2 linked regions of the Drosophila melanogaster genome follow. The protein of the gene in region 2 purifies or fractionates together with the protein of the main gene of each other region. This does not show direct contact. Each region holds a gene or a part of one and is shown on either strand. Other genes may lie near its edges.

Region 1 (6,067 bases), on a different chromosome or scaffold from region 2:
GGTGAAGCAGCAATTGCAACATGAGCACGATATCGACTATCTGCAGGATCAGGTGAACACGATTGAGATGAACCTAGCCGTATTGTATAAACATGAAGTGGAGAACTAGAAGCATCCCACCATCCTTAAAATTGCTAGTACCTTGTAGTTGCTTATAAAGACATTCGTTCTAAATAAGTCTTTATTGTCTAAATGCCTTAATTTCCAACGAAGTACAGCTCTCCCTTGGAGTTCCCCACTAATTCATTCATTACAATTACATTATTAGCAGCCCGGTAAAGAGGTCAGAGTATCGGGACCGTAGGATCCCAGACTGTGCCCTACAAAATGTGACCTTTATTACCGAGCTCGGCTATTTACAAGCCTATACACATCATAATAATTATGACTTAATTTCGCCAGGGAGCACCGCTTAGTCATTGTGTAATCCTCGGTCACAGCCAATTACAATTGAATGCCTTTCAATCCCATGCCCATGCCTTCGTCCAGCTGTTACTCCAGCCCTCCGCATATTCGCACACGCAATCTGCCAGCCACAATTGATATTAATTTGTGCCCGATGTGGGTCAACCCATGATGTAGACTCCATTCCCTTCCAAGGATACCAAATTATATGGCAAAAGGACAAAACTGACCAGCAGATGAGCCACATATCGCGTGGGAAAATCTTATTGCAAGCGAATAAAATTACCCAACCGCTCCCAGTGAGCAAAGGTGCAGTTTTGAATTATATGAATTTTCATCCATGGGCTTGGCACACTAGATTAGGGTCAGCACTATTCCCGAATTTTGATTAGCCAAGCCCAAAGTCGAGATTAGATTGCTGCGCTCTCTCAACCAGATCAAGTGAATCCGCCAAAGAGTTTGGGCTCGGCTAATCGAAGCCCCTTCAATTGGGGGAATCAGATCTGCATCTGCACACCTGCACTCGTGGACTCCACGCTGTCCACCTGTCTTGAGTCATGGCGCAAAAAAAAAAGAGGTTAGAAACAATAAAAACAACTTGCGGCGCGCCGCCAGTGCCAAGTTTTCATGTCCAAGGCGTATTTATGTCAACCGGAAGTAGGTTTACTGACCCACGTATACCCGTGTGGCTGGCCAAACGTGGACTTCGGCTTTCTTCGGTGGTTTCTTCACCTAAACCCGACTGGTCAGTTGCCGTGGAGCTCCACGGCGCAGGACGATGTATAAGAAGGTATTTGCCCACGGCGGATTAGTTTTTCTACGAACGGCGAGTGCAGTGCATCGGATCGATGCAAATGCGCGTTGAATTTTTTGGGTATTCAGTTTTTTATTTGAAAATCTCTCACCTTTTTTTTTATGACAATAACTCTACAAGTAACGGTGCATTAAAAATTAAAACCAAACTGCCTAAAATCGGATAGAAATCGTCGGATATATCGCAAACATTAAAAACTTCCAACTCGGTTGTGTAGTGAAAAAGCCCAAAACAATTAACTCGTAGATGTCTCTAGGAATTCCCCGACTTGTGACTCCGTGTGACTCCACTGGGGGTTCGAGTTGGACCCCACAAGGGGCGGGTTTTTGGGGGCTAACACGACATTAGCCAAGGATTTCTCCGGCACTGCCACTTAAAAGTCCCCCCGTTCCGAGGGATTCGTGGCTTTGGTTTGGGTGGTCTGTGTTTGCACACATACCTGTCTTTAGGCGTTATTGCTGCCACTGCCGTTGTTGTCTTGATGTTGCAACAGTGCCCGGCTGGCCAAGGAGTTCGTAGCTGCGGGCCAAGTGTTGTTGACTCCTAGCCGCTGCACAAGGCAACGCGGAATTTGTTGCGGTTTTGACCCTATTCCAAAGCCAAGGAAAGTGCAGTGTACTCGCCGAGGGTCTTATACTCACTCAGTCGAGTGCAGGAAAAGCGTCCTTCTGCCGAAGCCTTTTGCAATATTTATGGGCAGAGACACCTTTCACACAGTGATTAAGTGATCCTAATTTTTGGGCGACGCATAACTATTTTTTGACATTCTAGCGGATAAAATATTCAAACACTTAAAATAAGGATATATTTACTTTCAATACTAAATCAATAGGCGTATTTTAAACTGATTTTTTTGAACACAGTAAAGGAAAGTTTTTATTAATACCTATCATTACGTTCAATCAGAGCTCTTATGTGCAATCTCCAACTCCATAAAACTGCATTAAAGTGAAATGAGCGAAAGTGTTCATTGAAATACATGCGTGCATTCAATAGATACAAGTGGCATTAAAGTTATGAGGCATCCCGAAAAGTATGAAAAATTAGCTGACTGAGCTTCTCGGTGGCAGGCAGTGCGGCGTAGAAGTACAAAAGTGTTGGAACATCGCGTGCCACAGACATACCAACAGGTGTCACAGCCAGCCGGGGGAAACTGGGGGAAGCAATCAAAAGTTGTCTAAGAGGCAGAAAGAGCTGAGAAAGAAGCACACGCCGCACAGATGAACACAACGACATGCAAACGGCTAATGCAGCCGCCTCGCTAGGCGGCGAAATGCGGAAAACTCGCGGAAAAGTCGCGGCGAATTGGCGCCCCCGGTCGCCTTTTCTTTTCGGCTTTTCAGTTCGCCAGTCTCGATATCTCAGCGGGTCTGCGTGTGCAAACTGTTGGGGCACCGAGTGTGTGTGTGTGTGGGGGGGGGGGGCATTGTGTGCTGTTTTGGATTTGAAGTGTAGGCAATATTTCTCTTGAAGGCCTCCATTTTGCTCACTTACCGCTGGTCGGCCATCAGTTTAAGTTAGGCAGCGGCCACGTTTCGTCGCGTTTCCATTATTTGTTGCGGCTTTTCAGCAAATACATTCTATTTCCGAATTAGACTAAACTTAAAACCCAAATGTAAATTATATAATGCGCTCCAGGACCAAACTAACACAGTCAGTGTGGACGTGGCAGGTATTAAAATTCGTTATTCAAGTGTGACCGAGCGTTAATGAGATGCAAGAAAACTGCGTGTAATGCGGCAAGCGATTAAAAAACCAATTCGCAAATAGGAAGCTTAAGCCGCCTGGGAGCCGGCCAACTCCCCCAAAACGCGTCATGGCCAAAACAAAACGAAAGGAACGAAAAGGAGCCGGCCAAGTCACTTCCTTTTGGCCCAAAGTGTGTCACCGAAATTCGAGCGGCGGGCCATAAAATGTAGGTTAAATATTAGGCAGAGGAAAATCAATGCGAACAAAGGCCATTCATTCACACCTTTCCTCCACCTTCCCCCCCAAAACCTTCATGGGCTACGTCATTTCGCTAAAATATCTGCGTACCCAGCCGCACAGCTCCAATTAAACCATCGCCTTCTTCTGGTGATAGGATAGTCTCAGCCCGCTGGCTTCCACATCTGCCGGGTCGTTCGACTTCAAGTGCAGTCACTAATGCGGCAATTTGCAACATGCAACGCCGGTGCAGCCAGCCAAGCCGAAGCCATCCGCCCAAAAGCAAATCCCCATCCCCATTCCCCCCATTCAAGCCTTTGAGGCCTCCTCATCAAGTTATGCTCTCGTTAGCGCCAAGACAAGCGTTTGGGAGTTGGGAGTCCGACTCGGATTCGCATATAGCAGCAGGTGCATGGCATACCATAACGATTCCGATTTCAAATCGGTTTGGTTTCGGGGCGGCTTTATCAGCGCCTCGCACGCAGCTATTTATAGTTGAATGTGGAGTGAAATGGCATTAGAAAATAAAGCCGTGCAGTAATAATTACTCTACTATTTTTGCCACAACCAGTGATGGAAGCGGACGTATCCGGGCAGTTGTACCTAATTACTTTTTTTTAATTGCTGATGAATTTAAATTACTTTACTCAAGCTATTAAAAATTTAGGATATTTGAAAAAAGTTACTTGGTATGAAGACAGAAATTACTTTTATTATTATTTTTAAAAATTCGCCCAGGTAAACATACTCAATACCCTTTTCCATCACTGCGAATTGGCAATGAAACCGGCAGCCCTTCAGTTTCGCTCTCCGGTTTTTGGGACTGCCTACTCCGTGCTCCGTGCTCCTCGTTCCGTTATCCGTTCTCCGCCGGTGAAGGCGTCGCGTGTACGTCTCTCTGACATTGCAAGAGGGCCGGAAGGTCTCGCTGGTCGTCTGTCTGTGGAATCAAAAGATGTGCGCACATGGGTGTTGTGAGTGATTTTTAAATACATTCTGTTGCTTCGAATAAACAGCTCCTGGCGTCATTGGTTTTGTGGCACTTAAACTAAAGCGAAGGACGAACGCGGAGTGTCCTGCGTGGAAATCGGCTTCCAACTACTGCAACCACGACTGAATTTCGCAAAAACGCTGCAACAATGGATAGGAAATCATAGTGAATGCATGAGGGCCGAAGATCGGTTAGCACCCATGTCAAGCCATGCAGCAGACCCTCTCGTACTCATCATCATCGCCATCCCCATCCCCGATGCCCATGCCATCAGCCTCAGCCGCACAGACGCCGCCACCGAACCCGAATCTGACACCGAATCTGAACATACGTCCAAGTACGAACCCAATACCACGACCCAGATCCACTGGAGGCGAGTCCGCGTTCCAGCCGGCCATCATCCCGGTTGATTATAGCTATCGCACCCATACCACCCGCTCCATTCTCTCCGCCCAATCGATGGCACCCTCCACGTTCGCCTCCAATCAGAGCTTTGTGCGCCAGCCCTCGGAGTCGGATGCCCAGCCGTATAGTAGCCTCTTTGGGGATCCGGTTCCACCGCCTCTGCAGCCGGATGATTACTTCGGAACAGCAGCATTTGAGACGTTGCGAAATGGGTCTGTGGAACTGCCCAGCTCCGAGGAGGATGCGCTGGTGGCCGCCATGGCGCTGAACGCACTTATTCCTGCGGCCAGGGAACGCATCTTTCCGAGTGTCCCGTACTCGAGGACTCCCCGAGGATCCCTACTGCCTTATCTCCAGCCACCCGACATCCAGATTCTGCCCAACTCGAGCGGTGGCTCCAGTTCAGAGCAACTGGGCTCACCTAACTATCGGCTCCTGGCCCCCGATGACATTCTGAACAAGCCGGACGTTTATGATTTGGAGAACGAGGTCGAGGAGTACACCGTAGTCGGTCAGAGAATGTCTTTCGATGATGAGGAAGATGAGCCGACGAGGACTCCTAGCCAAGCGCCCGCCAAGTTGAGTGTGTCCAGCATCACGACGGAGGACCACAGGGGGTTGGTATTTGAATACACCAATATATTATCCAAACTAATCCTTCGTGATTACCTCCTCTTAGATTACTCAGTGACTCCTATTCGGGAAGGGATTGGTTCCGTCCGGCGCCACAGCACTTTCCAGAGTTCACACGCATCCCACGATTGCGGCCCAGCTCCAAAATGATTATGTCGATGAAGCAGGATGAAGGACCTCTCTCCCCACTGGCCACCATGATCCAGGACATGAACAGCTCGAGCAGCGGCGGAGAGGAGCGAGTGGCACCCAACCAAAGCAGGCCCGTTAGCAGGGACGTTGTACTCTCACCGAAGCAATATCTGGAGGAACAGTTGGGTCTGGAGAGAGGTAGCCAGAGGCAGTCGCTGGAGGACTATAGAATGCCACCTCCACCGGCAGACCCGCCCCCTTTCCGTAGAACTGACTTGACGGAGCAGGATGACAGCCGCAGTGTGGAGCCTGAACATAGCTTAAAGCGGGAAATGTCCCCAGTTATCATCAGGGATTCAATACCTATGGGCGGAGATTATAGGTAAGGTTATCCTGTGGAAAATATCCATAAAGATAATACATATATTCAAGTTTTTCTGTCCCCTCTAGAGTGGAGCAACCTCGTCCACACAAAAAGACTGCTTTCACGATACTTTCCACGGGACAGGCAGCTTCTTCTGCTCCTCGGCCTCCACAACAAGCTCCCACCAGAGGAAGACACGCCTCCATTCAGTCGACATCGACGACTACCTCATCGCCGGCCGGCAGGCCTCAGATCAGTCCTCGACGGAGATCGATCTTTGGCTCAGAGCCGCGACTGCCTGAGCTGCCCTCCGCGCTGGGTTACACCAGTCACCTCGTCCACCAGACCACGGATGACTCGCCACGCCCATCGGTTCAGTTCAATATGAGTGGACGCC
Region 2 (4,987 bases):
ACGAATCAAGTAAAAATAAAGATTTACAAAGACCTTACCATCTACTTTCCAGAACTCGTGCCCGCCCGCTATGTGCTGGCCCTCCTGGGGTCCATCGGCATGGCCATTGTGTACGGCCTGAAGGTGAATCTCAGCGTGGCCATGGTGGCCATGGTGAACCACACAGCCATTAAGGCCCACGGAGACGGCGGTGGACATGGGGGACACGGCAGCGTCATCCTTTCGAACGCCTCCCAAGTGTCCCTGGTGGAGGAATGCAACCCGCCGGGTGGTGCCTCCAATGTGACGGCTAAGGTGGAGGACGGTCCCTTCGACTGGAGCGAGCCCCTGCAGGGAACCCTGCTGAGCTGCTACTTCTGGGGCTATTTGGTCTCGCAGATTCCGCTGGCACACGTCGCCGAGAACTTCTCCGCCAAGTGGGTGATGCTCTTCTCGGTGGCCATCAACGTCGTGTGCACGCTGCTAACGCCCGTCTTTACTGAATTGCATTACGGTGGCCTGATTCTGATGCGAGTGCTTGAGGGCGTCGGCGGAGGAGCCTCCTTCCCGGCCATGCACGTGATGATCGCCTCCTGGGCCCCTCCCACGGAGCGCATGGTCATGTCCACCATCATCTACGTGGGCACATCTGCGGGTACGGCTCTTTCCATCCTCCTGGCCGGCGTGTGCTCCGCCCAATGGGGCTGGGAGTCGGTCTTCTATGTCATGGGCGCACTTAGCTGCATCTGGATGTTGCTGTGGGTCATTCTGGTCCAGGACAACCCCAACAAGCAGCGTTTCATCAGTCTGGAGGAGCGCCAAATGATCACCAGCTCGCTGGGCACCGAACAGAAGACGGAGCACCACCCGGCGGTTCCATGGGGCAAGGTCTTCACCTCCGTGCCCTTCTGGGCCATTCTCATCGCCCACACCTGCAGCAACTTCGGCTGGTATATGTTCCTCATCGAGATTCCCTTCTACATGAAGCAGGTGCTCAAGTTCAACGTGGCCAGCAATGCAGCCCTCAGTGCTCTGCCCTACTTCCCCATGATCATCTTCAGCATCTGTCTGGGCAAGCTCCTCGACAGTCTGCAGGCCAAGGGTAAGTCGGACACATTATTGGACCTTTGAAGGGTGAGTGGTATAAATACCTTAATGTGCTTTCTAGGTAAGATCACCACCACCGTTGCCCGCAAGACGGCCACCTCCATTTGCACCCTGATCCCTGGAGTTTGTCTGCTGGTCCTCTGCTACATCGGATGCCGTCACTATGAGGCGGTGTCTGTCATGTCCGTGGGCATTGTGGCCATGGGCTCCATGTTCTCCGGCTTCCTGTCCAACCACATCGACATCGCACCGAACTTCGCCGGCACCCTGGTGGCTCTGACCAACACGGCGGCTACGCTACCTGGTATTGTTGTCCCCCTCTTCGTGGGCTTCGTCACCAAGGGAAATGTAAGAGAAATGCATCTGAATATTCTCGAAAATATCTTCAAATGGCTTTCTCGAATCATTCTTTTAGCAAAACATTGGCGCCTGGCGCATCATTTTCGGAGTGACCATCGTGCTGTTCGCCTTGGAATTCCTGGTATTCGTCTTCTTGGGATCGGGCAGCGAGCAGCCGTGGAACAAGGCCGGAACTCCCAAGGATCCCGAGGCCAAGGACGAAAAGACTCCGTTGAAGGAGCTGCCAACTAAGCCCTAAGCCAACAATCTCGCCCCGAATCTTCTGCCTCAATTACTCGACGAACTGCTGCTTATTCGGATAACTCTTGGATAAAGCCAGTTCAAAGTGGAATGGTCAATGCTGGACTGTAAATACCAATTACAAGTGTACAATGCCCACCCTGAATAGCGAATTCATTGAACATACGTTCGCTATTTAGGGCGTGCACTGTAGTTTTTAGATCGCTGTAAACCAATAGTTAGTAGCCGTATCCATTACGGATAAACACTTCAGCCCGCCTAATGTACTTAACACTCTTGATTTCAAAAGTTGTCTACAAATAAAGCGACGTAATAGTGGATGCACGGGGGTTCCTAAACAAATTCTGGTGGGGAAGGGAGAATGGGTCTCAGCCTCAATTTCGATGGAAATTCTGGGTGAATGACCCCATTTTCCTGTTTATATTTAGCGCTAGCAATAAGCCATTCCACAGAATCTCAGAGGATTTAGTTACAACTCTGTACGTATAAAAAAATATATAAACAGGGGATCTGTTCTATCTGTTTGGTTGAAGATATGAACAATTGCATGATGTAACTAAATGGCAAAAGATGTAAGGCTAGAGGATGATCCTAACTCAACAATGCAAAGATTGGGTTGTGAAATTGATTGTAACATCTAAGAACCAACTTTCTTTGCATCCTTATCACAATTTAAACTCCGATAACCTGCGGCGCCAAAAGACAGAGTCCGTTATCGATATTCCGGCAGAAACATATGATTTCATGTAATCAGTTTGCCTTTGCCGGTTTCAACGGATTGCGGAAAATGTTGAAAGCACGGAACGTTTGTTTGCTGTCCAGGAGGTGGAAGAGTGGCGCCAAGAAGCGATGGAATGTCCTGCAGAACAAGAAGAACAACTGTGACCGAGCGCTGGAGAACTTCGATGACTTCTACGGAAGTGTCTACGGCACCCGGTGGAAGAACATGCGGGCGGCGCTTCTCACGAGGCACAAGTATGTCGCCCTGGTCAACAATTTCGGGGACACGGAGCAGACGTGCGCCATGCTGGAGTCAGATGGAGCCATCAACATGAAGTCGCTTATTAACCTGGCGCAGGATCGGGTAAAGGACAGCACGGAGACGGTGCCGGAACAAGGCAAATCACGTCATGAAATTGAAAGCAAACTGGATGCACTGCTGCGGAAACAGCAGGAGCGCGAGGTGGCCTCCATATACCCGAGCTCGCCAGAAGATGGTTCATCGGCGCCACTGCCGCTGGAACTGAAGTTTGACAACGTAGAGGAAGATCAGCCGGAGCAAGTGAATAATCCCTTCAAGCAGAGCCTGACGAAGGCTTTGGAGGAGGATGTGAAGCTGGACGAGCATCGGTTGGTGGATCCCCAATTTGGCACAGGCGGACTGTATGAATACATGCCTGCCCACAGCATCAAGGGCATGGAGGACTGGGTGGCAGAGTCGGAGCACTACAAGTACTACCAAACCAGCGCCGACTTCCCGCTCGCCATTGAACCGGAGCCTTCCTTTCACTACCCCGAGCATCTGTCCCTGTACACATATGAAATGGGCAACTGCTCGGACTTCAAGGGACCCAAGAAGTGCATGACCGGTGTGCTCTCCCACTTTATGATGGATGGTGCCTCGACTTTGCCGCCTCTCTTCCTGCAGGTGAAGCCTGGCGAGCGTGTGCTCGATGCCTGTGCCTCTCCCGGCGGCAAATCGCTGCTTATGCTGCAGACGCTGCACTTGGACCACCTGGTCTGCAATGACATCCAAGAATCCCGCCTAAACAAGCTGCGCAAAGTGATGCAGGAGTACCTGTTCGACTACAAGGAGCGCTGGGCTGGAAAGCGCCTCATCCTCAGCCAGAGTGACGCCCGCAATCTGGACCAGTACGAGCAGTTCGACAAGATCCTGGTCGACGTGCCCTGCACCACGGATCGCCATGTGCTCAACGAGCAGGACAACAATATTTTCAAGCCGACGCGCATAAAGGAGCGCCTGCGGATACCAGAGCTCCAGGCAGGCATCCTGGCCAACTGCTTGCGTCTCCTGCGACCAGGCGGCAGTTTGGTCTACTCCACCTGCTCGCTGTCGCCCATCCAGAACGATGGTGTCGTCCACATGGCTCTGCAAAAGGTCTTCACGGAGTACGGCATCACAACTACCATCAAGGATCTGAGTCGCCACACGGCGCTCTTCAGCGATGTCTTCAAGTTCGAGCACCCAAAGGGACTCAAGTATGGACAAATGGTGGTGCCCTACCTGCCGGCCAACTTTGGACCCATGTACTTTAGTAAAATAACCAGAAATGTGTGATTAAATGAAAGTTGTTGGCTGATTAACAAGACTATATAACTGTTGCCCCAATAAATAATAAGAGTTGTAAACTAAAAAGGTACCTTTATATTTAACATACTGCTTCCTTTGGTAACCAGTATTTTCTACTGCTGGAATTACATTTGCTTGTCGGTCTTCTTTTTCTTTTTGCCCTTGATGGGCAGAGGACCGGGATTCTTGAAAATGGTGCTGGAAAGTATAGTCAGGCTCCTTAAGTTAAGTTCTAGTTAATTGAAGTTTAAATTGTACTCACTGGCAAGTGGTGCATATGGGACTGTATTTGCAGAAGACCGAGAGGCAAACCGAGCAGACGTAGCCAATGTCGATCAGCTCACGATGGCAGAAGCAGGAGGCGCGGTAGTCCACTTTGGGCGGTGGCGGCAGGACCAATTTGTGACGGATCTGCGGGGCGGGCAGGAAGACCCACAGGAGGTACTGCAGCAGGCCGTCCAGCTGGGTGACCTTGAGGAACTGTCCGGAGGTAATGTCACAGCCTTGCTGTAGCAAACTGAGGGTCTTGTCCAGGGCGCAGGTATCGATCGTGATGCCCAGTTTCTGGGCGGTGAAGAAGACGTTCATGAACGTCATGTACTGCGAGGCGCACTCGTTGCTGCCTGTGACGACCAGGATGCGGGAATGCATCTTGACGCCAGGAGCCAGATTCCTCTGGAGCTGTACGGGAGTATTTTGTTTTAGATTTGGTTTCCCAAGGCGATTCCTAGCTATTCTCTACCCTTGATATGTAGCACAGCGCCATGGACATGCTGCCGGCCAGGAGACTCTCACAAGGAGCGCTGAGCCGTGGTGCGTTCATCAGGATGCTGCCCAGCTGCTGCTTCACCGTCTTCTCCACCAGATTAAACGCCTCGTACTGCCCATCCACTTGGCGCAGTTCCACTTGTCTTCTGGGCAGCGGATACAGGAAGTTTCTGTAATGGAAGAGCCATTAGGTGGCGTACATGTGTGGCAGCCTCTACTCAC

Evidence for each region.
Region 1: the proteins of l(2)10685 (region 2) and stum purify together in Drosophila melanogaster (affinity purification with mass spectrometry, with the first as the bait; one large-scale study listed by BioGRID). This does not show direct contact.

The regions. Positions count from the first base shown.
Region 1 is NT_033778.4:21,672,169-21,678,235, forward strand, and holds the start of stum (stumble), read left to right. Parts: upstream 1-2,732; 5' UTR 2,733-3,134; intron 3,135-3,905; exon of another isoform or gene 3,906-4,161; 5' UTR 4,162-4,346; coding exon 4,347-5,158; intron 5,159-5,220; coding exon 5,221-5,688; intron 5,689-5,756; coding exon 5,757-6,067. Other genes in the region: CG15676 (uncharacterized protein), read left to right, coding at 1-109.
Region 2 is NT_033779.5:1,145,392-1,150,378, forward strand, and holds l(2)10685 (lethal (2) 10685), read left to right. Parts: upstream 1-2,430; 5' UTR 2,431-2,473; coding exon 2,474-3,985; 3' UTR 3,986-4,058; downstream 4,059-4,987. Other genes in the region: MFS3 (major facilitator superfamily transporter 3), read left to right, coding at 53-1,081, 1,148-1,434, 1,502-1,684; Tfb4 (transcription factor B4), read right to left, coding at 4,123-4,195, 4,260-4,678, 4,740-4,935.